7 linked regions of the Zea mays genome follow. The main gene of each other region encodes a partner of the protein of the gene in region 4 in a complex. Links are inferred from orthologs where the notes say so. Each region holds a gene or a part of one and is shown on either strand. Other genes may lie near its edges. The genes, in order: 50S ribosomal protein L1, chloroplastic-like; 50S ribosomal protein L9; 50S ribosomal protein L27, chloroplastic; 50S ribosomal protein L4-like; 50S ribosomal protein 6, chloroplastic-like; 50S ribosomal protein L5; 50S ribosomal protein L13, chloroplastic-like.

Region 1 (4,009 bases), on a different chromosome or scaffold from region 4:
CCCTAACCTACCGCACGATTCTCATTTAGATCCCCAAACTATGAAATTGCATATCTAGGTCCCTAAACTATTTAAGTATCCCATCCCGGTGCAAAACAGTCACATCACAGTTCATTAGCTAACATTGCACTCTAGCGTGGAACCGACATGCATGTCCATAACTCATAATTACAAGGATGATACCTAAACTATCATTGGATTCTTACAAAAGTCTCAAACTATAAAATTTGGATTAGGATTGTAGTACTTTAATAGGTTAGGGACCTAGATGAGTAGTTTTATAGTTTGGGACCTAGCTGAGAATCCTATGATAGTTTAGACAGCCCTTGTAACTATGAACTATGGACCCATATGTCAGCTTCACGCTGGAGTGCCACGTCAGTTGATGGACTGTGATGTGGTTATTTTGGATCAAGATATGATACTTATATAGTTTAGGGACCTAGATATGCAATTTCATAGCTTGGGACCCAAATGAGAATTACATAATAGTTTAGGGACCGCCAGTGTAGTTTACTCATATTATTACCACTGATAACGCTTCATATCTTCCAACATGTGTCTCATCTAGTTTCCTCGGCGATCAGTAAAACCAACTATTTCAACTTCCTGAACTCTTGCTATGCACAATTAAATTACAAACATGTGTTCAATAAAAACACCATGCCTGAACCTTGAATTATCGGAGTACAGGAAAGTAAATGCAACTGATAAAGGTAGGAAGTTACTTGTACATGAATCCTAGAAGTCAGTAAATACTACAAGGGCATGAAGTTTTAAATCTTGTCACAGTGCCCAGACTAAGCAATGAAGACAAACGATTTAGAATATCGATAAAAAAACTGAGGCAAACAAAATCTGTATTGACTTCCTCAATACCTGAGTAATATTTGAAGAAACAGTGCCAGCTTTGGGGTTAGGCATCAGTCCTCTTGGTCCTAGAATCTTACCTAAGCCCGCAACCTGAAAAGTAAACAGAAATAACTCAGGCTGATAATCATTTAAAGGGGAGCCCACATTGAAAGTTTCTACGAACATGTCAAATAATGCAACAAATATATACAGAACTTTGGACATTTAGTTTAGCATTAGTTATCAAAGAATGAAACATCTCACACATGTATTCTTGTATTCCGAAATTAGATTGGCATAGCCAATCTATTTTATCTATAGAAAACAAAAAAATTAACAGTTTACATGGTAAGACACTTAGGACCTATAGTAAGCACAACTAAATATTTCATTTCAAATTTTGTGGTAGTATCCAACAGTAAATTGAAATGAAGGCAGAACTGTTAATAGCTCATACCTTAGGCATCATATCAGGTGATGCAATCAATTTGTCAAACTCCATAAATCCTCCTTTTATTTGTTCAATCAAATCTTCTCCACCTACGATATCAGCTCCGGCAGCTCTAGCTTCATCTATCTTCTCACCTGTGAGGTCAGAAAATAACTATTAATGCATATAATGACCATGATTATTTCAACTACTGGTGCTACCATCTTTATGATAATGACAAGAAAAACATGACTATCTTTCACAAAGGATATGAAAGAGAAGTTTCAGTCATTCAACAAGGGTTTGCTAAGTGGACAGCACAAAAATAGCACCATCCCAACTCCCAAGTGACTTCTTGTAAAAAACAAAGAAGTAGAAACATCATGAACATAATAAACTGATTGTTAAATTCTTCTACCAAGATGCCAAAGATGAATTAACTTTGTCCAATCCAATATGTTGCATTTGAACTCTGAAAGAAGCCATGGTACTTTAAGAAGAAAAAAAATACAAAATTAACCAATCGGGTCATCAGCACACAATGTTTGCATAAAAATAAAGACAAGCGTGTTTCAGATTAAACCCATAGTCACACATGAGGCAAGGCAATAGTGTCAAACAGAACAATCACACATATGACCCACTAGCACAGTGAATTCAGTTTGTACTAACTATCGCTCAACAGGATTTCGTTGTGTTTCAATCACCGCCCACCTTGTGTGAGAACCGCAATCTTCACCGACTGGCCTGTTCCCTTGGGCAAATTCACCTGTGGTCACCACGACCAGCACAAATTAACGAACGCAACAGGGCACAAGCAACCAAAAAGAGAAGGCCAGAAAAGAAGAAACAATACCGTGGCCCGGAGCTGCTGGTCATTGTACTTGGGGTCGAGATTCATGCGGAAGTGCGCCTCCGCTGACTCAACAAACTTGGCACTGGACATCTGCTTCATCAACGAGATGGCGGTGGGCACGTCGTAGTCCTTCTTGCTCTCCCTCAGCTTCTGTATCTCGAGGAACCTCTTCGACCTCGTCTGCGCACCATCAAAACTAGCACAGCATCACCGGCCGTACACAAGCAAGCAAGCCACAGGAACCATATACGGAGGGTGGGGTATTCGGCGATATGCGTACGCGGTCGCGCTTAAGCAGTAGCGCGGCCTTGCCGGTGCGCGGGCGCGTGGGGGCCGTGAACGCGGGGCCGCGCCCGCCCTCATACCCGTCGTCGTCGTCGTACTGGCCCTGCTGGTCGACCTCCGCCTCCTCTTCGAGCACGGCCCCCTGCGGGTCGGCGATGGCGGCCGCGGCGGGGCGGCGGAACGCGAGGAGGAGCCGCGGGTACGCACGCAGCGACGGCACGGAGGAGGGGAACAGCAGCGCGTTTGACGAGGCCGGCGCCGTGCTGCTGGCCGCCGGCGCGAGGAGGGAGGAGGAGGCGGTGGCCGCGGCGGCTGTGGCCATGGTGGAGGCCGGGGAGGATGGCGCAGCAGATAAGAGGGAGTGGAGGGATAGAAAGAGAAGCCGAAGTGGCAGCGCGGGTTGGTTATAGCCGAAAGATCTCGGCCTGGGTGTTCATCGGATAGGGCTGGTCGTGGGCGGGCTCGCGGTCGCAGCCTCGCAGGGGCAGGGATGACGGGCGCCGCGCCTGGAAAACTCCTCCCCCCTGATTCCAGTGATTTTGGCTCAACCGAGACGCCCGGTCACCTGCCTGATCTTGGTTGGGAGTTGGGACGAGCGGGTGTACGAGTGTGCGATCGTGTCGTGTCCGCGCGGGCGACGGGTAAGGAGAAACACGGCGAGTTGGCTGGGCCGAGACGCGCGCAGGTGTTCGGAGCTCCTGATTTGGCTCAGCCCCGAGGACCGAGAGCCATGCGGATGCGCGCGAGGCAGCCGGACAGGTGTGTGGTCGCGGTTCGCGTGTGGGTTCGAGCGGCAGCGACGAGGGACGCATGTGTGGCTGTGGCTGCCAGCCTGCGACTGCGAACTGTTTGTGTGTGGCCCTTGACTCTACTCTATATCTATACTACTATATTATTTAGATTATCCACCAAACAAATTCAGATAGCTGGATAACTCTATCACCCTTACTCAAATTCAATGATGAACAATATTATCTAGATCATCTATCATTTGTCATGTCACCCTTCCCTTTCCCACAATCTGTCGCCTCCAACCTCTCCCTCCCTCGCGTCCCCGTCGCCCTCTCCCCTTCACTCGTGCCTCCACCGTCAATTCCTCCTATAGTTCTGAGGCCTATGTTGTAATACATTGGTAGTGTGACCATAACATGTGGTTTTCTCACTTTGTAATCAGACTTTAGGTTGTTTCAATGGCACACCACTCCACATACATACAATGAACTTTAGAAAGTGCAGGAGCTCCAACTTTTTCCCCTGCTGCCACCATGTAGAGGGAGAGAGAGAAAATTATCTCATATATCACTACACTTTTAATATAGAATTTTCTTTGTGCGTCGCCATGTGTCTCTCACGCGTGAGTAGGGGTGGTAATGGGCTATAAACTTTATACTGCAAATTTTAAGGATCGAATCGGATTAGGGTCGGGCTCTATTCTTATTCATTTTTGAACTAATATTATTTAAGGGCCTTAACTTTTGTGAAGAGGCATTTGGATCGTGATCCATTACCACCTCTACGCGTGAGCGCCCGTGTCCGTCCAACGCGGCAGGGCTCCTACCACTATGGCACACATCCATTTGTGGTAC
Region 2 (4,225 bases), on a different chromosome or scaffold from region 4:
GGCGTAAGCGGAAAGGCTATTTCTAGCTCTGTGCAATGCCCCCTTGCCTGCAATGCTGGCTGTTCAGTTATGATGCTAGTTCATTTAGCAGAAGCAGAAGGATTTTTGTAAAGGGTGAAGCGAGGAGTTGTACTGGTATTCGGGAGTCATTGCATTTTTAGACAACGATGTGAAACTGTCATTTTTGTAGAACGTGGATGTTGAGATGAATACAGTTGGTTTGCGTGAATCTGTATCAGATCGCTGGTGACGCCCAGACTTTGGCTAAAAGAAACGCAGTTCATGTGTCAAGTACGTTGGTGTTCCAATCTGAATAACGCTCTATGGAGCCCCATACTTAGCAAATTTCTTGCCTTTTTTTTGTAGTGGATGCAGACGTAGAGGTGGGGAAGGTTAGAGGACAAGAAAGAAGGGTCGTTTTTGGCGAAGTAGTGCTCTACAGTTCAAACAAATTGTTCTTTACAACAATTTATATTTTCCGCCTCAAAATCAACAGATATAATTGTTGAAAACTTGACTTCACACGGTAGGGAATAGGATGCGCAGTGAGCCAGTGAATTGTGTATCAAAACCAGGCAAGTCACGGCCAGACCAGGCCTCATGTCTACCGCAGCACCTGGCACTTGCAGCAAAATCTCTGCACTAAACAAAAGCAACTGTGTAAGAGCAAGACCAGCGGAATTCTAAGAGCCAAATCTCAAGGAAAGAACAACGGCAAATGAGCTCGCCTGGCAAACATCAGGCTTCTCCAAAGTCCATTACTCGAGGTTCTGTAACTGCTGAGCTCATTTCGCATAGACATTCAGCCTTACTCGCGCTGTCACGTCTGGGTGAAGCTTGATCTCTGCAACATACTCTCCGATTTCACGGATTTCTGGAACCGTCACCAGCTTCTTGTCGACATCCCTACAAGACACAGCGTGCCAGCAGTAAGAGAAGCAATATAATGATGAGAAACGCTATTAAGATTGCCTAGGAGTTAGGAGCATATGCACTTGCCTATTAAGTTGTGACTTTATTATGTCAACAACATCCTGTGCCGTGACACTGTACAATAAAAGATATCGTCAGAAAAGTGAAAGTAAGACTATACCCAGCAGATAGTGACACTATAGATTGCAGTGTGTACAAAGTAGAGTTTGAAATGAGAGATGGAGATGGGTAAGCTGTAAGAGATAGCCTGAGACAAGAGAGAATAAATAATGGATTGTCCAACTTAGAACTTGCCTCCCAAAGATCTGTTTTCCTTTTCCACCTTTGCGAGGGAGTTTGAAAGCGCCAATGGTTTCAAAAACTCGAGCAAGTTGTTGCGCGTCTTCTTTTACCTATGTAAATAGAGGACTTCTTAAGGCCATAATTATAAACAAAAACTGATAAAAATGCATTGATAGAATTTCATGAACATATCATGCTTAGGACTTAAATTACGGAGGACATAAAGGCACTATATTTTCTTTTCATAAGGAAAGTAAGGATAAACTGCAATTGAAGTTTACTCTCCAGACAAAGAAAAAGGTCGCTGAGGTTAAATTGCAACTACATTTATTACTGAGTAAAATATTTTTTCCTACCCGCTTCTTCTCAGCTTCTATTCTCTCCTGCTCCAGCTGCATTTCCCTGCGAAGAGAAGTAGAGGCAATAAATTCATTCGCAATCTTACTTACCCATCGAATCAAACAGTATGTGTGTCGACCATTGCAATTCTATTAGAAAGGTGCATGGATTGGATTCATATCTCAATCTAGTTTTGCTAGGTGCCTAGGTCCCAAACCTCAGAGTCAAACTAAGCATACCACAGAGAAGGTCATACGGTTGCCAGCAGCCACTGAATCATTTGACAGAGTGTGGACTTTGCAATTACTTGAGGATTAAATGACATAACTAACAAAGCAAAGCAAGTGAGGGATAACCGAGAGCTGGTAGCAATTACTTGAGGACTTCTGGGGTCAGAAGTGTAGCCTTGCCCTTGGGAAGGAGGAAGTTGCGGTAGAATCCAGCTCGCACCTTCAGTGTATCCCCTTTCTTCCCCACCTCTTCTATGTCGTCTGTCAATATGACCTATGGGAAAGAATTGTTTTTTTTATGGAGAAAGGTAAAATCACATGTAATGCTAAGGGTGGCGGTAATAGCTACACAAGATAAGCACCACATTGTCAATTTAACTGGATGCACCGTTGTTGCATTCTTGTACAATCAGGCAAACACAGCAAAAGGAACGACTTATGAACTGAACTCCAACTAGTGAGGCAAGGCTCCCATCAAAGGTATTTCATCCCTAGTATCTAAATCCCCTGCCTAAAAGCCTGGTTAGTAGTAGTAGTAGTACAACTCTTGGAGCATCTAAATTGTGCGAGCCACTATATCTTACCTGTTGCCAGTGAGACAGCTAAGCTAGCTAACTTCATTTGTATCTATTGATCACAATATACAAACGTACCGACGGCGGTGCATCAATTTTTTTAGAGAAGAAAACTAAAACGCGGCAGGTTATGATGCCCTCAGCAACCCGCGTGCATTAACTGATTGCTAAGATGAAATCAGCACAGAACTCGAACATAAGAACACGCGGAAAGCCCGGGCCGACCTGGCGGTACTTCTTGACCTTCCCCTGGGCGACGATGACCAGCGACGGAGCCCGGCGAGAGGCCGTGAGGCAGCGCCCCGCCGAGGGCCGCGGGTAGGAGGCGGGGGTCCAGGGCAGCGTGGAGGCGCACGACAGCGACGCCATTGCTCTCGCGCTTCGCTACTCAAGCAAGTGGCGCTTCGGTCGCCTCCTCCGCTCGCACCGCTTTCCTTTCTTATCCATCCACTGACTTCGCGAGAGGCCTAAATAATGGTTTGGGCCCGGAAATGAGAAAGCGGCGGCGGCGGCCCAATCGATCTGGAATGGATAATGTCACGGCTCCGTAGAGCCCGTTTCACAGCTTCTCTCGCCTGTCGCGCTGCGTCCATGGCGGGAGCCTGCGCGGTCGCCGTGCCCGGATCCAGCCGCGTGAACTGCCGGCGTGATAGCCCTTTCTCGAAACTGAGAATTCGATATCACCGAAACGTATTTCTAATAAATAGTTCCATCGCATCTTGTAAGTTGGATAAGTTTGCAATTCGATATCGGTGAATTTGATTAATCCAAAACCTCAAGTACAGTGTTTGTCTAGTCCCGGGGTTTGGGATCAGCATCCCACAGCTTCAGACTTCTACGCCGCTTGCCAGACTGAAAAGGACTCCAACTACATAAAAATAATTGCTTGGCAAGAATGACAAGGGACCAACGCCGCGACGATATTAGTTGACAACTTTCACTCCCTCGGTTGCCACTCAGCCTGAAAATCTTGCAGCTCTCCAATAAAACGAATATACGAGCTCGTGGGGACCCCCAATGAATCTAAGAACTTTGATTGGACTACAGCACCATGTAAGACAATCTTCTATCCTGCAGTAAATATTTACAGCCTACAGGTTGTCGTTCAGCCACTTCGCAGCGCCATTAACAATGGACCTGAAAGAATTCAACATCTAGGTCAGAATACAAGAGATAACCCAATCACAAAAATGTCTGATGAACTAAATCAATCAACATTTTTTCCTCTCGAACTCAGCCAACCTTTTATTTTTCTCGAACACAACTAACACAGTTAGGATGGCTCAAATTTCAACAGAGGTTATGCATCTGCATTCAAATCTCCCATTACTACAGTGTAATTTCCCCTTTTAAAGAATACTCGGAAATGTAATGCAGTGACCAAAAATATAGTTCATTACTACAAGATTAAGTTGGGTTGGTTCAGATTTCAATAAAAGAGGCATCTGCATTCAACTTCCCATTACTATTTACTACACTAGACCGGACGGGGCGCTCCGCTGCGCCAGTTTCGAAGTGCGTGAAAGAACAGGTAAAGTGATAAGTCGTTCAACAGCGATCGGTGAACAGTAATATTCAGAGATACATCAGCCAACACGCGTGAAGCCACGGCCGCAGGCTGGATAATTTAAAATGCAGGCGTGAAGAGAAAGGCGTTCAGATTTTAAGAAACTTAATTTGTAATTTTCCCTTTTAATAAAGGAGTACGTGAAAATGTAACGGCTGCCATAAACAACTAGGTAGTTTATACTTTATACCACCAGAAGTCCAGAACAGGGAAGTATAGTACAAAACCTATATGCTCAATGTAATGATTTTTTTTTCAGCGCGGTGTTACCTCATTACCCTTTAGTTAAGAAAAAGAGA
Region 3 (3,709 bases), on a different chromosome or scaffold from region 4:
TATGACATTGCATAACTTCATTAGAGACAGTGCTCTACACGATAGAGACTTTGATGAACTAGGACCTAATAGCCTTGGTCATGATGTATCTGTAGGTGAGAGTAGTAGTATCACATCTGATGAGTTAGACATGAGTGCATTTCGAGATGCAATTGCTAATGCATTAGTGCCGTAGTTAAATATGTAAATGTAACAGTAGTTATGTTGTAATGAACTCCACTAATTATATGTAATGACCTTTTGTTGGTTCGGTGTTAATGTGTATAGTTTCTTCAAACAGAATCTGCAATCTGAGAATCTGTGTATCCAAACACCTAGATTCTAACGAACAGCTTTTCCGCACAGCTGGCGAACCAAACACCTAAATTCTAACCACCAGCTTTTCAGAAAAGCTATTCAGAAAAAAGCCGAACCAAACACGCCCTACGTGGAGTGGTCTAGGAAGTTGGAATAGACCCCCACTGTGACTCTAAAGCACAACTACCCCACAAAAAGTACAAGTAGAACATATCCATTTATCTAAACAACACATGTAAATATGACCTTTATAGATCATGTGGTCTTACAATTAAGGAAGAAAAAGTGTAACAAGGGCTGTGAAAAAGAGAAACACCACACAGGAAACTTATCAGCAGTCCGCGCTGACCTCAGAGTTTTCATCAACAGCAGCTAGTACCAACTGAGGCTCAGCGGCGCCCTCCGCTCTCGCCTTCTTCCGTTCACGCCGCATGCGGAAGTACTCTCTCTTCCTTGCTCTGTAACTGTTTGGGTTTTCAGGCTCCTTCTCATATGGGTAAACACTAACCTATGAAAGGAGAGGTAGTGAGATGAGCATATATCTGGTGTGCAACCAGATCTCAGTCAGATGCAAGTAAAAGCAGATTTCAGTATGTAGTAACTAAGATACAGCTAACCTTTTTCTTGTCCGGCCCATACTTCTCAAACTTGACGAGTCCATCTATCAAAGAAAAGAGTGTGTGATCCTTGCCCATTCCAACGTTATTTCCAGGATAGACCTGAAATGTCCAAAAGATTTTATTTTAAGAAAAAACTTAAAAACGGCAAGGAACAGACAGACCACAAAACGGGGACCAAAACGAACTCTATACAAGGGACACGATGGTATAAACCATGTAGTATCCATAATATATAAACATCTTAAATATTTGAAGCGCGCTGGTAAGTAGGACGGACCAACCAAATCGTAAGACATGTAAGTTCATGAAATATCTTTTACAAGGATTGACCGACCATCTTACAGTATGCCTAATATTGAACAGCTATGTCTGACCATGTGTGCAGAGTAAGGTGGGTGTTTAGTTCAAAATTTGTTGGATTATATAACCTGGGCAGATTATAATCCCAAACAAACACCCCCCTAAGTCACCACCAGTTGGCTCCATAGGGCATTGAGGTTAGTACGTTACATTCCCCAGCGAGGTTTGTGTGTGCACTTTCCCCTCCCGTTATCTGATGTATGCAAGAAACTGCAATCTTTTCTTTCCTGCTTTTGCAGAGTGGTAAACTATGGAAAATGCAGATATGCACAATGGCAGCATACATTCCAACGTAACATGTGCAATGGCAAGCATTCTAGGTACATCGTAAGATTCTAGCATTCGCAGTCCGTAATCCGTATGAAGGTACTGGTCGGTGGTTAATATGCTTAACCTGCATCAGCAGCAGCAGCAGCAGGTGAGCAGCAAGCAAACGCTAGGCAGAGAGAGCTATGTCGCCCAGCAGAGCCAGTCAACGAGGTACCATAATCCACGCAAGCAAGAGCCTAGGCTGTCTTACTAACCCAAAGCAAACCAGTAACAGGTAAGGGAAGCGAAGGGAGCAAGAGGGGGGCAGGACCCTGGTGCCGCGCTGGCGGATGATGATGGCCCCGGGCTTGGCGAGCTGGTCGCCGTATATCTTGACCCCGAGGCGCTGGCCCTTGGAGTCGCGGCCGTTCTTGGTGCTCCCGGCCCCCTTCTTGTGCGCCATCTGGATGGTGAGCCGCCGCGCCGGCACCGGCACCGGCACGCCCGCTGCGCCGCCGACGGAGAGCGAGGCGCGGTCGCAGCGCGGGAAGGAGGAGGTGGTGGTGGTGGGCGCCAGGGAGAGGCCCTTGAAGGCCCCCGCCAGGGCGAACGCCATGGAGGCCATGGGCCGCTGGAGCGGAGGGAGGCAACGTGGCAGCTTGGGAAGAAGACGGGGGAAGAGAGCAGATGAGGCGGTGAGGTACAGAGGTGTGGGCGCTGGTGATAACGGAGTGGAGAAGGGATGCAGTCGGGAGACGTGGGCTCGTTCGTGGTTGGCCCAGTGTTTTGGGTCCTGGAGTTTTTGGGCCTTACTTGCAGATGGGCCTCGTGGTGCTTGCAGAGTGTCTGGCCGAATTGGAAGGGAGGGAAATGGTGTTATGCTCCTGGCCGGTTTTGGTCCTTGTAGTTTTAGGCAAGGCAACACAGGATTCACGAAGGAATCATTCAGGGGGAAAACAAAATGATCAGTGTGGTGGTGTTTGGTTCATGATATGTAACGTAAGTGGTAACGATAATGATTCACATTCAAGTACCAACGATAATAAGTCTGAATAGGCTCAGTTAGAGTTAAACAAACATGATATGTGAACCAAAAGGGCATCATCTTGTTCCTCCCTCCGGAGCTGCACAGAGAGACGCTGAATGGCCACAGCTAGCTAGCGTCGGCACGTGGGGAGATAGCCGGGGAAGCTAGCTAGAGTGACAGGCAGGCTTGTTGTGGAGCAAGAGCAAGAGCAAGAGAAGCAGTAGGCATGATGATGGGCTTGACCGGCGGCAACGGCAAAGCTGGAGCCGGAAGAAGAGGAGACGACCGACACATGGCATGATTAGGATCCTTGACGAAAGCGCGGGAGATGCAGAGCGTTTGGGGGTCCAAGTTAATCATGGCCCAGACCAGACCACACAAGCAAACAGGGCCCTACCACCACCACCACCACCCACTAATAATCTCGTGTTCTCCAGAGTCCAGACGCTCCATCCGCTCACTCGCTGCAGTTTGCACTGTTTACTCCTCCGTCTCCGTGTGCGTTAGATTTCCGGCGGCACTAGGGATGCCAGAAATTTCAAAGAGGCAGCAGCGCACGGCGCTCACAGGCTGCTGCTACTACTTGTACTAGCAGCAGTCACCGCACCGCACGCACCGTCAGCAGGGGGACGGAGAGATGACATTGACCGCCGGCGATCATTGCCTCGTCTGACGATTCGCCGGCGACACCCACACCCGCACCCCACCCCGGCCGGACCCGACCGACACAACGCATTTCCTCTATCTTTTTCCCACTCTTGTTTATTTGTGACAAATTATAGCGTGCTTGCGGTTGTAAAATGTTAGTCCATATCGATCTTTGCCACTGCACGGTGAATAGTTTGGAACTGAAAAGGACACGAAAAGGCCAAGCAAGCAGGCAGGCTGGGTCTAAACGAGAATGATGGGGAGGGTTAGATAAAACCCAAGATCATATCAGCCGTGACTGTAAAAAAAGAGAAGGATTGAGAGAGAGAGAGAGAGACGCCGCGACCGACCGGCCATGATGGTGATTGGTGAATGTGAATGTGAATGTGATCCCTTCCCCATGAGTGACAGGTTTTGGTACCTTTTTTTCTTCTGGAACTGCCGTTGCTCCAGCCTCCTCCGGGTTTGGTGTGTGTGTCGGCAACGGTGCGTCAGTCACTCAGTCTCA
Region 4 (4,139 bases):
GTTAAGAAACTACCATCAAAGTCATCAAGATGAACTACGGGCATCGCAAGCGTTAGTATATCATCCTAAAAAGCCATTTATTATCCGCATAAACCGTAAACAAGGTCGACAAGCTATAGAGCTCGCCTCTGCTTTGGATATGTCAACTGTAGGTTACACAATAGCCAGTATGATTCACGTAGGGACCAAAGACTATGTTGGATAGATATTTGTATCATTCATGTAGAATGTATCGTGGAAGATCGAAACAGAAGAAAATAAATAAGTATGATAATTTGAACTTCGGCCATCTGCTCTAAACTTCTGATTTCCTGACTTGCTTTTACCTTATGGTTTGTGCAAGGGTGGCAGAATATCTGGAAAAAAAAACTATCATGAGAATGCAATCCGCAGTCATCTATTCAGGTTTCTTGACCTGCATGACTTTGCTTGTTACCTTGTCGGTAAGGAGACGCGTGCAAGTTGGTTATCATCAGGAAGCCAAGGGAACGTAGAACTTCTGATTAAGGCTGTGCGCAGCGGTCACCGCTAGCACTCCCCCTCCCCTTGCATGCCGTCTGTAGGGGGCACCCTACGGCCGCAGCGGTGCCCCCTACAGCGCCCCCTACGCGTCGGCACCCTTCTATCTCCCCCCAGATCTAGCGTGTCACTGTTCATCACCCTAAACACTGTGCTGTGGGTCCACGAGTAATTGTTAGTAGATAAAAAATTAATAGTTGATATAGAAAATGATATTTTATAGTTGTAGTGGGGTATAGGGGAGTATTTAGGGGGAACCGCTGCGGGAGATGAAAAAATAGGGAGAAAAATAGGGGGGAAAAGTGATATAGGGGGAAAAATTTAGGGGTAACGGTTGCGGATAGCCTAATCCTTTTTACCTAGAATTTCTGAAGATTCGTTTTCACCCTTTATCTATCCCAGCTGTGCTGAAAGCATTGGGCACTTGCAGTTGAGTCTGCAGGTGCAGCTGACTTAAGTGCACAGGCACGGTTTCGTCTCCTCCCGTCCCGTGTCAACCAGTTTTAGCAAACTGCAAGCAAATAAATTCACTTAACACGGCAAATGCCCTTTCATTACTTGTAATATTAATGGATTTTTAAGGAAAAATTACTCAAACTTGTGAAGTGCGACTGCGACTAGCCGACTCGGCATGAGACCTGACTCGGTGACTCCTGAGACAGTTGACAGTGTGCCTTCTTGTGGCGTTGGCAAGTAGGGACTACGAGTCTGTCTGGGGAGGAGTGGCCGAACCGAACGGGTGGATAACAAAGGGATAGAGAAGCGGCAGCTGCAGAGGCAGAGCGTCAGAGCCATCGTCCTCGCCTCACCCCGTAGTCCCGTACCTAGCGCAGCGAAGCCGGCACAATGCCAGCCGCCGCCGTAGTCTCCCCTCTCCTCCTCTCGCTCTCCTCGTCCTCCTCCCCCTTCCTCTCTTCCTCATCCACCTCCTTTTTCCCACCCTCCTCCGCTGCCGTCACTCCACACGCCGCCGTCAGGACGAGGGCGGCTGTCTCCGTCCTCCGCGCGCTGCGCGCCGAGGCGGCCACCCTCCCCGTGCTCTCATTCACCGGAGAGAAGGTCGGGGAGGTAACCCTCGACCTCAAATCCGCGCCACCCTCCACCGCGCGCGCTGTCGTGCACCGCGCTATCATCACCGACCGCCAGAACGCGCGCCGAGGCACGGCCTCCACGCTCACCCGCGGCGAGGTCAGAGGCGGAGGGAGGAAGCCCTATCAGCAGAAGAAGACGGGGAAGGCGCGGCGGGGGTCGCAGCGTACCCCGCTTCGTCCCGGCGGTGGCGTCGTGTTCGGCCCCAAGCCCCGCGACTGGTCCATCAAGATCAACCGCAAGGAGAAGCGCCTTGCCATCTCCACTGCCATCGTGAGCGCCGCCAAGGACGCCTTCGTTGTCGAGGAGTTCGAGGAGGCCTTCGCGTCGGGGCCCAAGACCAGGGATTTCGTGGCCGCTTTGCAGCGGTGGGGGCTTGACCCGAAGCAGAAAGCCATGTTCTTTGCCACGGACTTCGACGACAATGTGCGGCTCAGCGGCAGGAACATTGGTTCCCTCAAAATGCTCACACCCAGGACGCTGAACCTGTACGACATACTCGACGCACGCAAGCTCTTCTTTACTCCTGCTGCTGTAGACTACCTCAACTCCAGGTACGGAGCCAGTGTTTCCGATGACTACTATACTGATGACGAGGATGATGGCGAGGAGGAACTGGTCGAGCAAGAAGCAGAAGAAGGCACCACAGCAGATGCTGCTCCAGGTACATAGCTACAGAGTATGCTTTGCTGGTTGCAGTGCGCTGCTTGATTATTCCTGTACTGGCCATATATGGGCTCTCTGCTAGTAACTGCTATCCTTCAGTTAGTACATGTCTCAACAGGTTGAAGGAGAATAGCAAATGGTAGTGCTACGAAGCAGTAATGCCGATTGGATTGAATTGCATCACCATTATTTTGGGGAACATTTTATCTACAATGTAAATTTGAATGGCATAAAACCACACTACTCAAGGACCAAGACATGGGGTTTGAATATCGGTTTTGTACAGGACTATGTTTTGCTGAATAAAAATGCACCTCTTACCATATTTCTCATTTTTCTAAAAGAGAGTGGCAGGAGCTCTGCCTTGCATTGAAGGGAAATAAGATGGTTTTGTCTGAATGGCAGACACGCCTCAACATAAAATAGGACAACCACAAATTTCATGAGAGAGCCAACCTGCAAAGAAACAAAAACAAGACACAATTGTTGTGGCGGCCAATGATGTCGGTGTCACGGCGGGAGAGGGCGTGGTCGACCGTATGGAGACAACTGGGGCAGTATTACACCGTGAAGTTGAAGCCGAACAACTTGCTCACCCACTGGTGCCGCAGGATCGTTGAGAGGCGTTGATCAGGCAGGAACTTCACGCTAAAGTGGTTGGTGCAGATGAGTAACCGGCGCCCCCAGAGATATGGGCGCCAATGACGCACGACTTGCACCAAGTCGATGAGCTCTCGTTCGTAGGCGGCGATCTTCTGGTGTCATGGCACGAATGGTCAGCTGAAGTAGGCCAGTGGTCCTGCGCCCTACTGAAGGATAGCGCCGAACCCTATGCTCGTCGCGTCACACTCCACGACGAACAAGGTATCGAAGACTGGCAGATGGAGGACCGACACAGTGGAGTGTGCGCGCTTGAGTGCGGTGAAGGTCGTCTCAGCCTTCGGTGACAAGTGGAAGGTGTCCTTCCCTAGCAAGCTGGTGAGTGGCGCCACGATGAGGTCGAATTCCTATATGAACTTCCTGTAGTACCCCATAAGGCCCAGGAAGGTGCAGCCAAGACGTGACGGCCTCCACCTTGTCTCCATCCATGGCTACGCCATCTACGGAGATGACGTGCCCTAGGTATGCGACGGACGTCATGCCAAAGGAGAGCTTGCCAAAGAGGGAGTGTGCATGGAGGCGTCGAAAAAGGCGTGTTGCAGATGAGTTGACCACGAGTCGTTGTAGATGAGAATACATCAAAGAAAACAAGGACAAACCAACGGAGTAAGGGCTGCGTGACTTCATTCATGAGGCTCTAGAATGTTGCCTGCGTGTTTGCCAACCCAACTGGCACCAACAGAAACTCAAAGTGGCCATGGTGGGTGTGAAACACGGTCTTCTCGATGTCGCCTGTGTGCATGCGGATCTGGTGGTACCCGGAGCGTAGGTCCAGTTTTATGAAGAAATGGGCGCCATGGAGCTCGTCAAGGAGCTCATCAACGACGGGGACGACGAGGATTGGGAACTTGTCCTTCACCGTGTAGTCGTTGAGGAAGCGCAAGGAGTCGATGTAGAAGAGCAAGGAGTCATGCTTCTTGACGAGGAGCATCGATGTGGAGAAGGTCGACGTGCTAGGCTAAATAACGCCCTAGACCAGCATGTCGACGACTTTGCACTCCAATTCGTCCTTATGGACCTACGAGTAGCGGTAGGGTCGGACAGCGACTGTTGTCGTGTCTGGCTGCAAGTGAATGCAATGGTCACATGCACGAGTTGGTGGCAATCCAGAAGGCATGGCGAAGACATCGATGTTGGCGAGAAGATCGTCAAGGAGTGGTCGCGGCTCAGGCAGAATAGTGTGGAGGGCTATCGACGTCGTTGCA
Region 5 (2,282 bases), on a different chromosome or scaffold from region 4:
ATTAATGAGTACTTGCCGATGTGGTGATGTCTGAAATCTAGATAGTTTGTGTTACATGTTAGTACCTAGTTATCCCTTAAGGGCTTGTTCGGTTACACGAATCCAGAAGGGGATTGGAGGGGTTTAAATCCCCTCTTAGGGCTGATTTGGTGACCCGGGATCCCGGGAGGATTGAAGGGGATTGAGGGGAAAATTAGTTTATTTCCCCCTCAATCCCCTCCAATCCTCCCGTGATCACCTTGTCACCAAATCAACTCGGTTGATTTGGTGACAAGGTGATCACGGGAGGATTGGAGGGGATTGAAGGGGAAATGAACTAATTTCCCCCTCAATTCTCTCAAATCCCGCCGTAATCTCTGGTCACCAAATCAGCCCTTATTGGCTAGTTTGGAAACTCACATCCTCTTCGGGATTGAAGGGGATTGGAGAGGAAATTAGTTCATTTCCACCCCAATCCCCTCCAACCCTGAAGGGGATTTGAGGTTCCCAAAGTAGCACTAAGGGTTAGTTTGGAAACTCAAATCCCTTCAAGATTGAAGGGGATTGAAGAGAAAATTAGTTTATTTCTACCTCAATCCCCTCCAATCCCAATGGGGATTTGAGGTTCCCATTGACTAGGAGGGGATTTAATACCCTCCAATCGCCTTCTGGATTGGTGTGCCTGAACATGCGTTAATTGGAGATGGGGACCCATTGGGGACCCAAAACCCGAATGAGGATGAGTATGAGATGAATTTTGCACCCATAATGGGTATGAGGATGGACTAAATATGATAGGAATGAGTTTGGGATGCTATAACCCGATGGAGAATTCTCCATTAACATCTCTAGATGAGTTAGAGATAGCTTTAGAAGTACAAGCTAGTTGTGCCGAAACATTTTTCAACAAAATTCGGGAGACAACTGATCGTTGTACCAAAAGAAATATATTATGTACCCGTGAGCCTCATTTTGTTTTGTTGAAGCTTCATCAACGGCACATCTTAGACCACGGAATTTTATAATATAAAAAGGTGACATGGCATTTTATGATAAGAAGAGGGCAGGGGACTAAACAATTACAAGTTTTTTTTAAAAGAAGTGGAGATATAAAAAAGGAAAAACACTCGATGAGTGAGCGGTCAGATGATCGCACATAGTGTGGGCCAGATTTCGCTCAGCGTAGCAAATCCCGCAATCACAAAACCCAATCCGAAACAGTCCTCCTCCCATCTTATCCCAAACACAACCCACACTACTACCCTACCCGTCCGCCTCTCTCGAAAGCGCAGCACCAGCGAGCATGTCGCCTGTCACCGCACTCCTGGCGGGCACGGTGGTGCCGCCGGCCTCGGCCCCGTCGCCAGCGAGGCACGCCCGCCATTACTCCGTCGGCTTCTCCCCGCTCCACGGCGGCGGGCGCGCGGCGCTGGCGGTGGAGTGCTCGTCGCGGCCGCAGAAGAAGGGGACCAAGCACCACATGAAGACGCGGCCCAAGAAGACGCAGCCGTGGGACATCAAGCGCCGCCCCACGCAGTACCCGCCGCTGCCGCCGCTCCCGCCGGACTGGACGCTCGTCGCCTCCGGCGCCACGGTGGACGTGGAGGAGGCGGAGGCCCCGGCACCCGCCGCGACTCTCGTCCTCGACGTGGCCGCGGCCACCGACTGAGGCCGCCGCGGCGTGTCGCCAAAGTTGTTCCCTTGAACCTCCGCATAAGCTGTTTTTCTTTGAGATTTATTATATAATAACAATGGCTGCCCAGATTTTGTGATTATAAATTAAGAATCTTTCATTGCTGTCCAGATTGTGGCTGTCACCGCGTCCAATTTAGTGCGTTGCTAGATGATTTCTTGGTTGCATGCTGTGTGCAACGCTTATTCCATGCCGTCAGTGGCAGTGCAGACTGCAGAGTGATTAGCTACTCCATCTCCATAGTTTGCCAGTTAAGTTATGATGGGATATGGATTACGCAAATATAGTCTTCAAAAGGGGGGGAAAACAAGCAGCCCAACGAAGACATCTGCCTCTTGTTTGACTTTAGGAGCTGGCTCTGTTTGATTTGGACAATTGCCTGATATTGGGGAAGGTTCGGTAAACAGTAAACTCAGCTTAGATGGCAGGAACAGCCATTGAACACTGCAAATGATAGGAAATTTTAGAAGTAACCTAGTTGTTTGTAATGTTGCTTTTGTTGGAGCATGATTGTGCGAATTCCATATGCTACCTGCCTACCTAGGGATGGCAATGGATACGGGTATGGGTAAATAACCGCGGATAATTATCCATTGGATATGAGTATGGT
Region 6 (3,375 bases), about 33 Mb from region 4:
TCCGGCGCCGGGAGGGGCGGCTTCGTCAGGGACATCTTCGTGCGCGGCCTCAGCCTCCACACCATGAAGTGGGTGTTCTGGATGACCGGCAACTACGGGCAGCACCCCGACAACACGTCCGACCCCAACGCCATGCCCGAGGTCACCGGCATCAACTACAGCGACGTGTTCGCCGAGAACGTGACCATGGCCGGCAGGATGGAGGGCATCCCTAAGGACCCCTACACCGGGATCTGCATATCCAACGTGACCGCCCGCCTCGCGCCGGACGCCAAGGAGCTGCAGTGGAACTGCACCAACGTCAAGGGGGTCACCTCCCACGTCTCGCCCAAGCCGTGCCCGGAGCTCGCCGCGGAGGGCAAGCCGTGCGCCTTCCCGGAGGAAGAGCTCGTCATCGGCCCACCCGAGCTGCCGAAGTGTAGCTATTGAGGCCGATTGCCAAAAGAGATCATTGATCATATAGGCTCTTCGGTGATAGTCTAGACAAGCAGTATGAGAAATGCAGCTGAAATACGTTTGCATTACAGTGTCCGTCTCACATTACTGCTTCCTCCGATTACAATGTCTGGCAGTGGTATAACTTGTGACTACAAATTATGCATCAAGAAGAAATCAGCAAAACGGACATGATCATTGCAAACCTTTTTCATAGGTGCACAAGTTACATAATTGACAGACAACAACAGCATCGAATTTGTAAGCCAAATTCTGCAAAAAGATCGGAATTAAAACAAGCTGAACAGAGCGTGTGCAACCATGGGCTGGCTGGCTGGCTGGTTCCTCTCCTCACCGTCGTCCTCCCTTCCCCTTGCCCTTGCTCAGGAAGTGGTGGCGCTTCAACCTCTTCTTCCGGATCACCACGTCGGTCTTGATGTTCTCCGAGAATGGCATGCCGAGGAGGACCAGCAGCCTGAACGCCTCGTTGTCCGTCTTGGCGCTGGTGACGATGGACACGTCCATGCCGTTCTTCTTCCCGCCCACCTCGTACGGGATCTCCGGGAACACGCCCTGGTCACGGAGGCCAAGGCTGTAGTTGCCGTGCCCGTCGAAGCTGTTGGGGTTGACACCCAGGAAGTCCATGGTCCTAGGGAGCCCAAGGTTGATGAGCCTATCCAGGAAGTTGTACATTATCTACAGCCAAGGACAAAAAAAAGAAAAAGAAATGAGCCCTGTACCAGTGAAACGAGCTCACAATTTCCACTTGTATTGCAGATTATACTAAGCTGCCATATTCCAAACTGCCACGAAATACACTCCGAGGCCAAATGAGCAATGGATGAGGCTCACCCTGCCGCGGAGGGTGACTGCGATACCGATGGTGTTTCCCTCACGGATCTTGAAGCTGGCCACGGACTTCCTGGCCTTGGTCTTGACGGGCCACTGCCCGGTGATCATGGCCAGGTCCTTCATGGCGGCATCCAGCCCCTTCGAGTTCCCTGCCTCCGCGCCCAGACCGCAGTTCACCACAATCTTCTCGAGCTTGGGAACCTAGCCGTTCGAACCAACCGCACGACTCATCAAAAGTCAAAATCCTACCACGCCAGCAAATTAGCCTAGCTACAAGGAGGAACGGCGGGCCTTTCCGCGGCGAGGAGGAGCAGGGTCGACGGTCGAGCACCTGGTGGACATTGGTGTAGCCGAACTCCTCGGTGATGAGCGGGACGACCTTCTGGTCGTAGACGGCCTTGAGCCGGTGCACCTTCTGGGCTTCGGATGGGTCGACGAGCACGATGCCGGAGGGCGATGTCGGCGGCTGCGTGGGCTTGGGCGGCGCCTCGGTAGCGGCGGAGGCCACGACGCGGAGAGCTCGGCGGGGAGCCGCGGAGGGCAGGAGCAGGCAGCGGCGGGCGGATGAGGAAGAGGCGGTTGTGGCGACGGCGAAGGGCGTGCCCGAGGAGGGCAGGGTCACAGCCGCGGCTGCCATCGGAGCGGGGCGTGCGGAGGCGGGCGCGGCTTATGCCATGGATGAGGAAGACGGTTGCTGGATAAGGCGTCGGCTGTGCCGCTGGCAGTGGCCAATCCAGTGGTTCTGGGCTAGGCCTTCGTGTGCTCTGGACTTGGACCCATTGAGGATACAGAGATGGCTAAAGCCCATCAAGCCCAAGCCAAGATTGTTTAGTGGATCAATAAGATTAACATCATAATACAGCCTTGTTTTGCTAACAACGAACCTAATATCGTGAATACGTGATTAACAACAGTCATTGAGCTGGTCATGCGTGTAAAAAACAACTTAAAAAACAAGTGTGATCAGTTTAATATTTGATATGTGGGACATGTGCCCATGATGACGTTACATATATATTTTTTAGTGAGAGGTAACCATATATTAAACTGATTACACATGTTCAAGCTAAAGTGCATGACAAAAATAGTTCAATTAGAATCCATAATGGTAGCTTGCTATCAAGATTGTCATGCACTATTGCTTGGTCATGACACACCACATATAAATCAAATAAAATATTGAAAGATTGATATACAAATCAAAATAAAATGTTGAAAACTGAATATTCAAGCTTGAATATAGTAGATTTGTCGTATGTGGTTCGTCGTCTACGTCTCGCTTGGTTGGGCTAGGTCGCTTGACGCTTGGGCCTCGTTGGGCCGCAGGGCAGCTGTGCAGCTCGTTTGGCTCGTTAAGAACCAAACTAAAATGTTGGCTGAGCTCGTGACTCATTTCAAACGAGCCAAGATGTATCAAGCCACTAATGAGAGCGAGTTATGGATCCACAAGTTTCTCGTCCAGACCTAGTGGCAAAGTCTGTGCAATATGATTAGTAGGGTGTAGAGTGGTTTCTAGACTTGCGGGTATCGTACTTTAGACTTTAATAGGACCTCACTCGTGAAGTAGACTAGTTTGTGTACTTTGTATACATGGCCTTACTCTTCTCTTTCAACCATGATTGATGTCTTTAGTGTGTTGGTTGTGTTGGCCCAAAAATGAGATGCAATATTCCAAACTATCGTGACAGGGGTTGTGGACACCCTATGCTCCATGTGACAACACAATTGGATGCCATGGAGCCTAAGGCTGTTGTGTGGGGGATAGATATCCCCCGGGTCCACTAAAGGAGTAAAAGACCTCACGAAAGGCCCAAGGGCCCAATAAATCGTAAGGTCATTCTTTTGTGGGCCTGGGGAGAAACAACCAACAAAGCAGAGCGACGTGATACCGGATTGGTGCAAACCCGAATGGCCCACAACGTCGAGCGAGTAAATCGCAACAGAGACCCGACTTTCCCGCGCTGAAGCCCCCATGCAGCGGAGCCATGCGAAGATAAGTCGGCGAGGGTTACGTAGGGATAAACTCAAGAGGTTCACTACCTTTTAGCTACTTGTTGTTATCATATCCACGTGTACTGCCCCACGGTC
Region 7 (4,018 bases), on a different chromosome or scaffold from region 4:
TGAATTTCATGCATTGGTAAACATCAAAATTACAAAGAGGATTTATACTCCCCCCCCCCCCCTCCCCGATCAGAGGCATGGTTATGAGGATAGCATTCCAAACAAAGGGCAAAACCTTCTGGGGAGGAATTCGCCACTGCATCCTTTTCAGTCGATGAATTCTCTATCCAGTTTTTTGTATTCTTTTATCCCTGATCGGGAGTGGGACAGGTTTTTGAGCCTCGTGCGGATGTTCTGTCCCTTTGTATACCTTGAGGTGGGTAAATAATCTTCTTCCCAGCTGCAAATTGGCAAAAAAGGTGAGCATATAAATGTAAATATAACAAGTATATAGCACATAACAAAACTAAGTTAAATCAAATTTGCCATCAACAAGAAAAATGGAATGGTTAGGGGGGATGCTTCAGATAACAAGATATTTGCCTGCCATAATGTGAGTTTCAGTAAACGCATCCATACTACCAAACAATTGAACTAAGAAGCAATTTGCAAGAAAAAGGTTAATAGGCAATTTTTATGGAGTTCATGCAACACACCTTTGCGAACTTAGAAAAAAAAAGATCGGCAAGATAATTAACTAATTCAATCTGGACTTGTTAATTTTGTTCAATAACAACATTCCCTTGAATTTAGTACTGTGATTTATTCTGAATGTCACGCTTTCACTGGGAGGTACATGCTGATGCATGAGCAATGTTCTGACTGCAATACACTTCAGGGCTTGTTCGTTTCGCCGTTAATCCATGTGGATTGAGTGGTATTGAGTCGGTTTAAATCCATAGCAAGTCAAAATCCATCCCAATCCATCCCAACACACCAATCCACATGGAATTGAAATAACCGAACAAGGCCTCACCATTAACTATAGTAGTTCTCAATCTCAAAAGAAAAAATTCACATCTGCTAACTAATACCAAATTGTAATTTTTGGGACCTTAAAATAAAGGTCACCAGGAAATTTGGTTGTCATTTTCATATTTGGCATACATTATAACATGCGCACTAAAACGAGAAAGAGAACATGTAGACCTGAGGCAATCAGCTAGTAGATGTTTTTTCTTACCCTTCCCTTGGGGAGCATGCCACGAACCGCATGTTCAATGATTCTCTCTGGAATTCTTTTCTGAAGTTGGTCAAAAGTTTCTTCTTTCATCCCTCCAGGCCTTCCGGAGTGCCTCCTATAAAGCTTTTGTGACCGCTTTTTACCAGAAACAGCAACCTTATCTGCATTGACCTATGTGAATAGAAAAGGTTGTTAATGACTCTCAGCATTGTAGTGTAACACAATAATGCATATCATCTACTCCATCTGTTCCAAATTATAAGATGTTTTGGTAATTCTAGATACATAGTTGTTACTAAATATCTGGACATGAATTATGTCTAAGTGCGTAGCAAAAGTAATGGATCCAAAAAAAATCCAAAAAGTCTTATAACTTGGAACTGAGGGAATACGTGGTAATGAGCCTTTAGAGATGCACCAGTCACAAAAGGACTATGCTAACATAAACATTAAACACAACTACAGTTGAAGATTATTTGAGGAAGGTTACTCACCTCAGTACCAAATAATCTGAGGGAAGTAAAGCATGTATACTAAGGCCCTGTTTGGAACCTCTACAGCTAATAGTTAGCTGCTAAAATTAGCTATACAGGTTCCAAACACCCACAACTAATTGTTAGCTAACTCACAGTTAACAATTAGTTCATTAGCTGGCTCAACCCAGCTAACAATTTGTTAGCTGGCTACCTGTTAACTGTAGGGATTCCAAACACTATAGGTATTGAGAGAACGCTTACCACAATAACAAAAGCTCCCATGTCTACACTAGGAGTGTAAGTGGGTTCATTCTTTCCCCTGATATGTACTGCAATGGTGGATGCTAGCCTGCCTAGGATCTTGTCTGTTGCATCAACAACATACCATGTCTTCTCGGTAGTTACATGATCTGCAGCCTTAGGATACCAGGTTGTATTCCATATGTCCTGCAAATTAAATCACTGAATCAGATTTCAGTAGACACAATTACTTGTGGAGTAATTCATTAGAAGAAAGAACAAGGCATAGTACAAACAAACCATTCACTTTGTACCCATAGTATTAGTAACTGATCCTAAACAAGTCACAATTATGAACAGGCTGGTTGGCAACCATCAGTTCACTTTGACTTGCATGTCCAATTAAGCTCATTTTTAATGAATTCTCTCTCACCACAAACAGCCCATGGGTAATTTTGGATATGATGGCACATGGCAGATAACATATATAATGTACGCAGTTCTATTGTAACTTGATTGCCCTTCATCATGCACATAAAAGGATAGTCGAAGCCTCTGAGGTGGATTAAGATGGCCACGGTGAAACATGAACAAAATAGGATGGACACTGTCAGTCCAGGGTTACAATCCTGCAAAACGAGCTGTGAAAATGTGCACATTGTTTCAAGAGAGGAAGAGAGAGCGTCGTACGGGGCCGCAGAGCTCGTCTCCCTCGAACATGAAGCGCTGCTCGCGGGGCACGAGCGCGGCGAGCGGCTGCCTCTTCTGCTTGTCGCTCTTCTCGCACCGCACGGCCAGTCCCACCGGGGCGGCCCGGCGCGGCCCCACGGACGCGGTCCGGGTCAGGCGGCGGTGGTAGTGGCGCGGGGCGAAGGCGGAGGAGAGCAACGTATGGGAGGCGACGGCCGTAGCCATTGCGGCACGGCGAGCGAGCGGCAACAGGAGGAGGATGTGCAGACGGTTGGTTCAGTGGGACGCGGCCATTTTTAGGCGCAGTGGGGAGCGTCAAGCGGATAAGGGGATAGGAGACAAAGAACAGGGAAAGGTTAACAAGAACATATGGGCTTCATGGGCTCAGAACGAAATGCAGATTTGGCCCATTACGACACCTTATCAGCTCATCTGAGATTTAAACGCTTCCTTTGAAACTCTTCCCAAACTCAGAATAATGGCGGTTCCATAATTCCATCTAAAAAAAAGAAATTCAATGTATTACTATTGGGCAAAGGGAGCTGCATTAACAAAATATAGCTTCAGACAGGACCATATTTTTTTCAAACGATTCCGCTGTTCAAGTACCAATTAGAAACATCGGTAATCAGAGAAATTCTCGAGTCCAAATAAAATGACGGGAACAGAACTTCCATTGCTGCTAGTTTCCGCGACAACCATCAGCAGCAGAAGCCGAATTAATTGATAACGGACACCATTTTCACATGTTCCATCAGGAAACGGAAAGGAGGCAGAAAAGTGTTCATTCTCTTCTAACCAAAGAAAGCATATCTTTTACATATATAGTGGCAACATCGTGTGATTGCGTTGCAGTGAAGCAACAGCTTAACGTGTTTCTGGTTCAGATCCAGGATTCCCTCGCAGGAAGAACGCAAAGATGATAATATACAACAACAAAATTGTGAACCAGAGATGTCGAGTATCGACGATTAGAACCATATGTAAATCAATGGTTAGTTGGCTACCAGCAAATGAACTGGGAGGAAGGTTACGAAGTAGTAGAAGACCCTGAATTTGTCTGTGTAAGAGGTTTTACTTTCCTTGTGTGACCCAAACTATTCACAAGATCCCTGCGAGTGCATACAGGAAACATGCTCAATCCATGCATGTTTAGCCGCCACAAAACGTATGGAAAACTGAGCTGATCACGAGATGTGAAGCGAACCACTTCATTAAACCAAGCACACATGAAATGGTTCGTTGCAGGGGTGAGTTCCCTCACAATAACAGAGGCTTCGGCTAGAGCTGAAAAATCAAACGGGTAAATTCATTATAACAGTTCGGAAAACATATACAGAGATATTCCACAGGAGCAAAAGAACAATTGTTTGAGAAAGATTAACAGACTGACCTTTCAGTCCGTGCAATCTTTTTGTGTCCGGCATTCCATCTTGACGATACCGAGTCAATTGTACCTCTACCTCTTCAGGGGTAGCCTTGTGCTTTTGAACAATAGCTTTCCCCTCATCATATATGTTACTCCGTGCTCCATGTTCAGAGATAGCAA

Evidence for each region.
Region 1: 50S ribosomal protein L4-like (region 4) and 50S ribosomal protein L1, chloroplastic-like share a complex: the UniProt entries of both Arabidopsis thaliana proteins name them as parts of the 50S ribosomal subunit. The link is inferred for Zea mays from reciprocal best matches to the Arabidopsis thaliana genes RPL4 and EMB3126.
Region 2: 50S ribosomal protein L4-like (region 4) and 50S ribosomal protein L9 share a complex: the UniProt entries of both Arabidopsis thaliana proteins name them as parts of the 50S ribosomal subunit. The link is inferred for Zea mays from reciprocal best matches to the Arabidopsis thaliana genes RPL4 and RPL9.
Region 3: 50S ribosomal protein L4-like (region 4) and 50S ribosomal protein L27, chloroplastic share a complex: the UniProt entries of both Arabidopsis thaliana proteins name them as parts of the 50S ribosomal subunit. The link is inferred for Zea mays from reciprocal best matches to the Arabidopsis thaliana genes RPL4 and RPL27.
Region 5: 50S ribosomal protein L4-like (region 4) and 50S ribosomal protein 6, chloroplastic-like share a complex: the UniProt entries of both Arabidopsis thaliana proteins name them as parts of the 50S ribosomal subunit. The link is inferred for Zea mays from reciprocal best matches to the Arabidopsis thaliana genes RPL4 and PSRP6.
Region 6: 50S ribosomal protein L4-like (region 4) and 50S ribosomal protein L5 share a complex: the UniProt entries of both Arabidopsis thaliana proteins name them as parts of the 50S ribosomal subunit. The link is inferred for Zea mays from reciprocal best matches to the Arabidopsis thaliana genes RPL4 and AT4G01310.
Region 7: 50S ribosomal protein L4-like (region 4) and 50S ribosomal protein L13, chloroplastic-like share a complex: the UniProt entries of both Arabidopsis thaliana proteins name them as parts of the 50S ribosomal subunit. The link is inferred for Zea mays from reciprocal best matches to the Arabidopsis thaliana genes RPL4 and emb1473.

Annotation. Positions count from the first base shown.
Region 1 is NC_050101.1:154,265,258-154,269,266, reverse strand, and holds the start of 50S ribosomal protein L1, chloroplastic-like, read right to left. Parts: upstream 2,801-4,009; 5' UTR 2,746-2,800; coding exon 2,419-2,745; intron 2,319-2,418; coding exon 2,139-2,318; intron 2,052-2,138; coding exon 1,997-2,051; intron 1,438-1,996; coding exon 1,310-1,437; intron 964-1,309; coding exon 880-963; intron 1-879. UniProt on the Arabidopsis thaliana protein: This protein binds directly to 23S ribosomal RNA.
Region 2 is NC_050100.1:222,785,531-222,789,755, forward strand, and holds 50S ribosomal protein L9, read right to left. Parts: upstream 2,801-4,225; 5' UTR 2,729-2,800; coding exon 2,585-2,728; intron 2,059-2,584; coding exon 1,931-2,058; intron 1,618-1,930; coding exon 1,572-1,617; intron 1,326-1,571; coding exon 1,228-1,325; intron 1,048-1,227; coding exon 1,000-1,047; intron 907-999; coding exon 786-906; 3' UTR 729-785; intron 643-728; 3' UTR 418-642; downstream 1-417. Other genes in the region: methyltransferase WBSCR22, read left to right, coding at 1-26; Chaperone protein dnaJ A7A, chloroplastic, read right to left, coding at 3,451-3,496. UniProt on the Arabidopsis thaliana protein: Binds to the 23S rRNA.
Region 3 is NC_050103.1:167,360,501-167,364,209, forward strand, and holds 50S ribosomal protein L27, chloroplastic, read right to left. Parts: upstream 2,214-3,709; 5' UTR 2,152-2,213; coding exon 1,858-2,151; intron 1,017-1,857; coding exon 915-1,016; intron 806-914; coding exon 629-805; 3' UTR 501-628; downstream 1-500.
Region 4 is NC_050096.1:38,266,338-38,270,476, forward strand, and holds the start of 50S ribosomal protein L4-like, read left to right. Parts: upstream 1-1,339; 5' UTR 1,340-1,365; coding exon 1,366-2,272; intron 2,273-4,139. Other genes in the region: Peroxisomal nicotinamide adenine dinucleotide carrier, read left to right, coding at 1-33. UniProt on the Arabidopsis thaliana protein: This protein binds directly and specifically to 23S rRNA. May play a role in plastid transcriptional regulation.
Region 5 is NC_050099.1:216,898,364-216,900,645, reverse strand, and holds 50S ribosomal protein 6, chloroplastic-like, read left to right. Parts: upstream 1-1,210; 5' UTR 1,211-1,282; coding exon 1,283-1,648; 3' UTR 1,649-1,782; downstream 1,783-2,282.
Region 6 is NC_050096.1:5,387,174-5,390,548, forward strand, and holds 50S ribosomal protein L5, read right to left. Parts: upstream 2,028-3,375; 5' UTR 1,925-2,027; coding exon 1,619-1,924; intron 1,489-1,618; coding exon 1,288-1,488; intron 1,132-1,287; coding exon 787-1,131; 3' UTR 501-786; downstream 1-500. Other genes in the region: glycoside hydrolase, family 28 precursor, read left to right, coding at 1-429. UniProt on the Arabidopsis thaliana protein: Binds 5S rRNA, forms part of the central protuberance of the 50S subunit.
Region 7 is NC_050098.1:202,897,711-202,901,728, reverse strand, and holds the start of 50S ribosomal protein L13, chloroplastic-like, read right to left. Parts: upstream 2,801-4,018; 5' UTR 2,695-2,800; coding exon 2,470-2,694; intron 1,987-2,469; coding exon 1,801-1,986; intron 1,235-1,800; coding exon 1,064-1,234; intron 281-1,063; coding exon 164-280; 3' UTR 1-163. Other genes in the region: uncharacterized protein LOC100285659, read right to left, coding at 3,500-3,756, 3,863-4,018.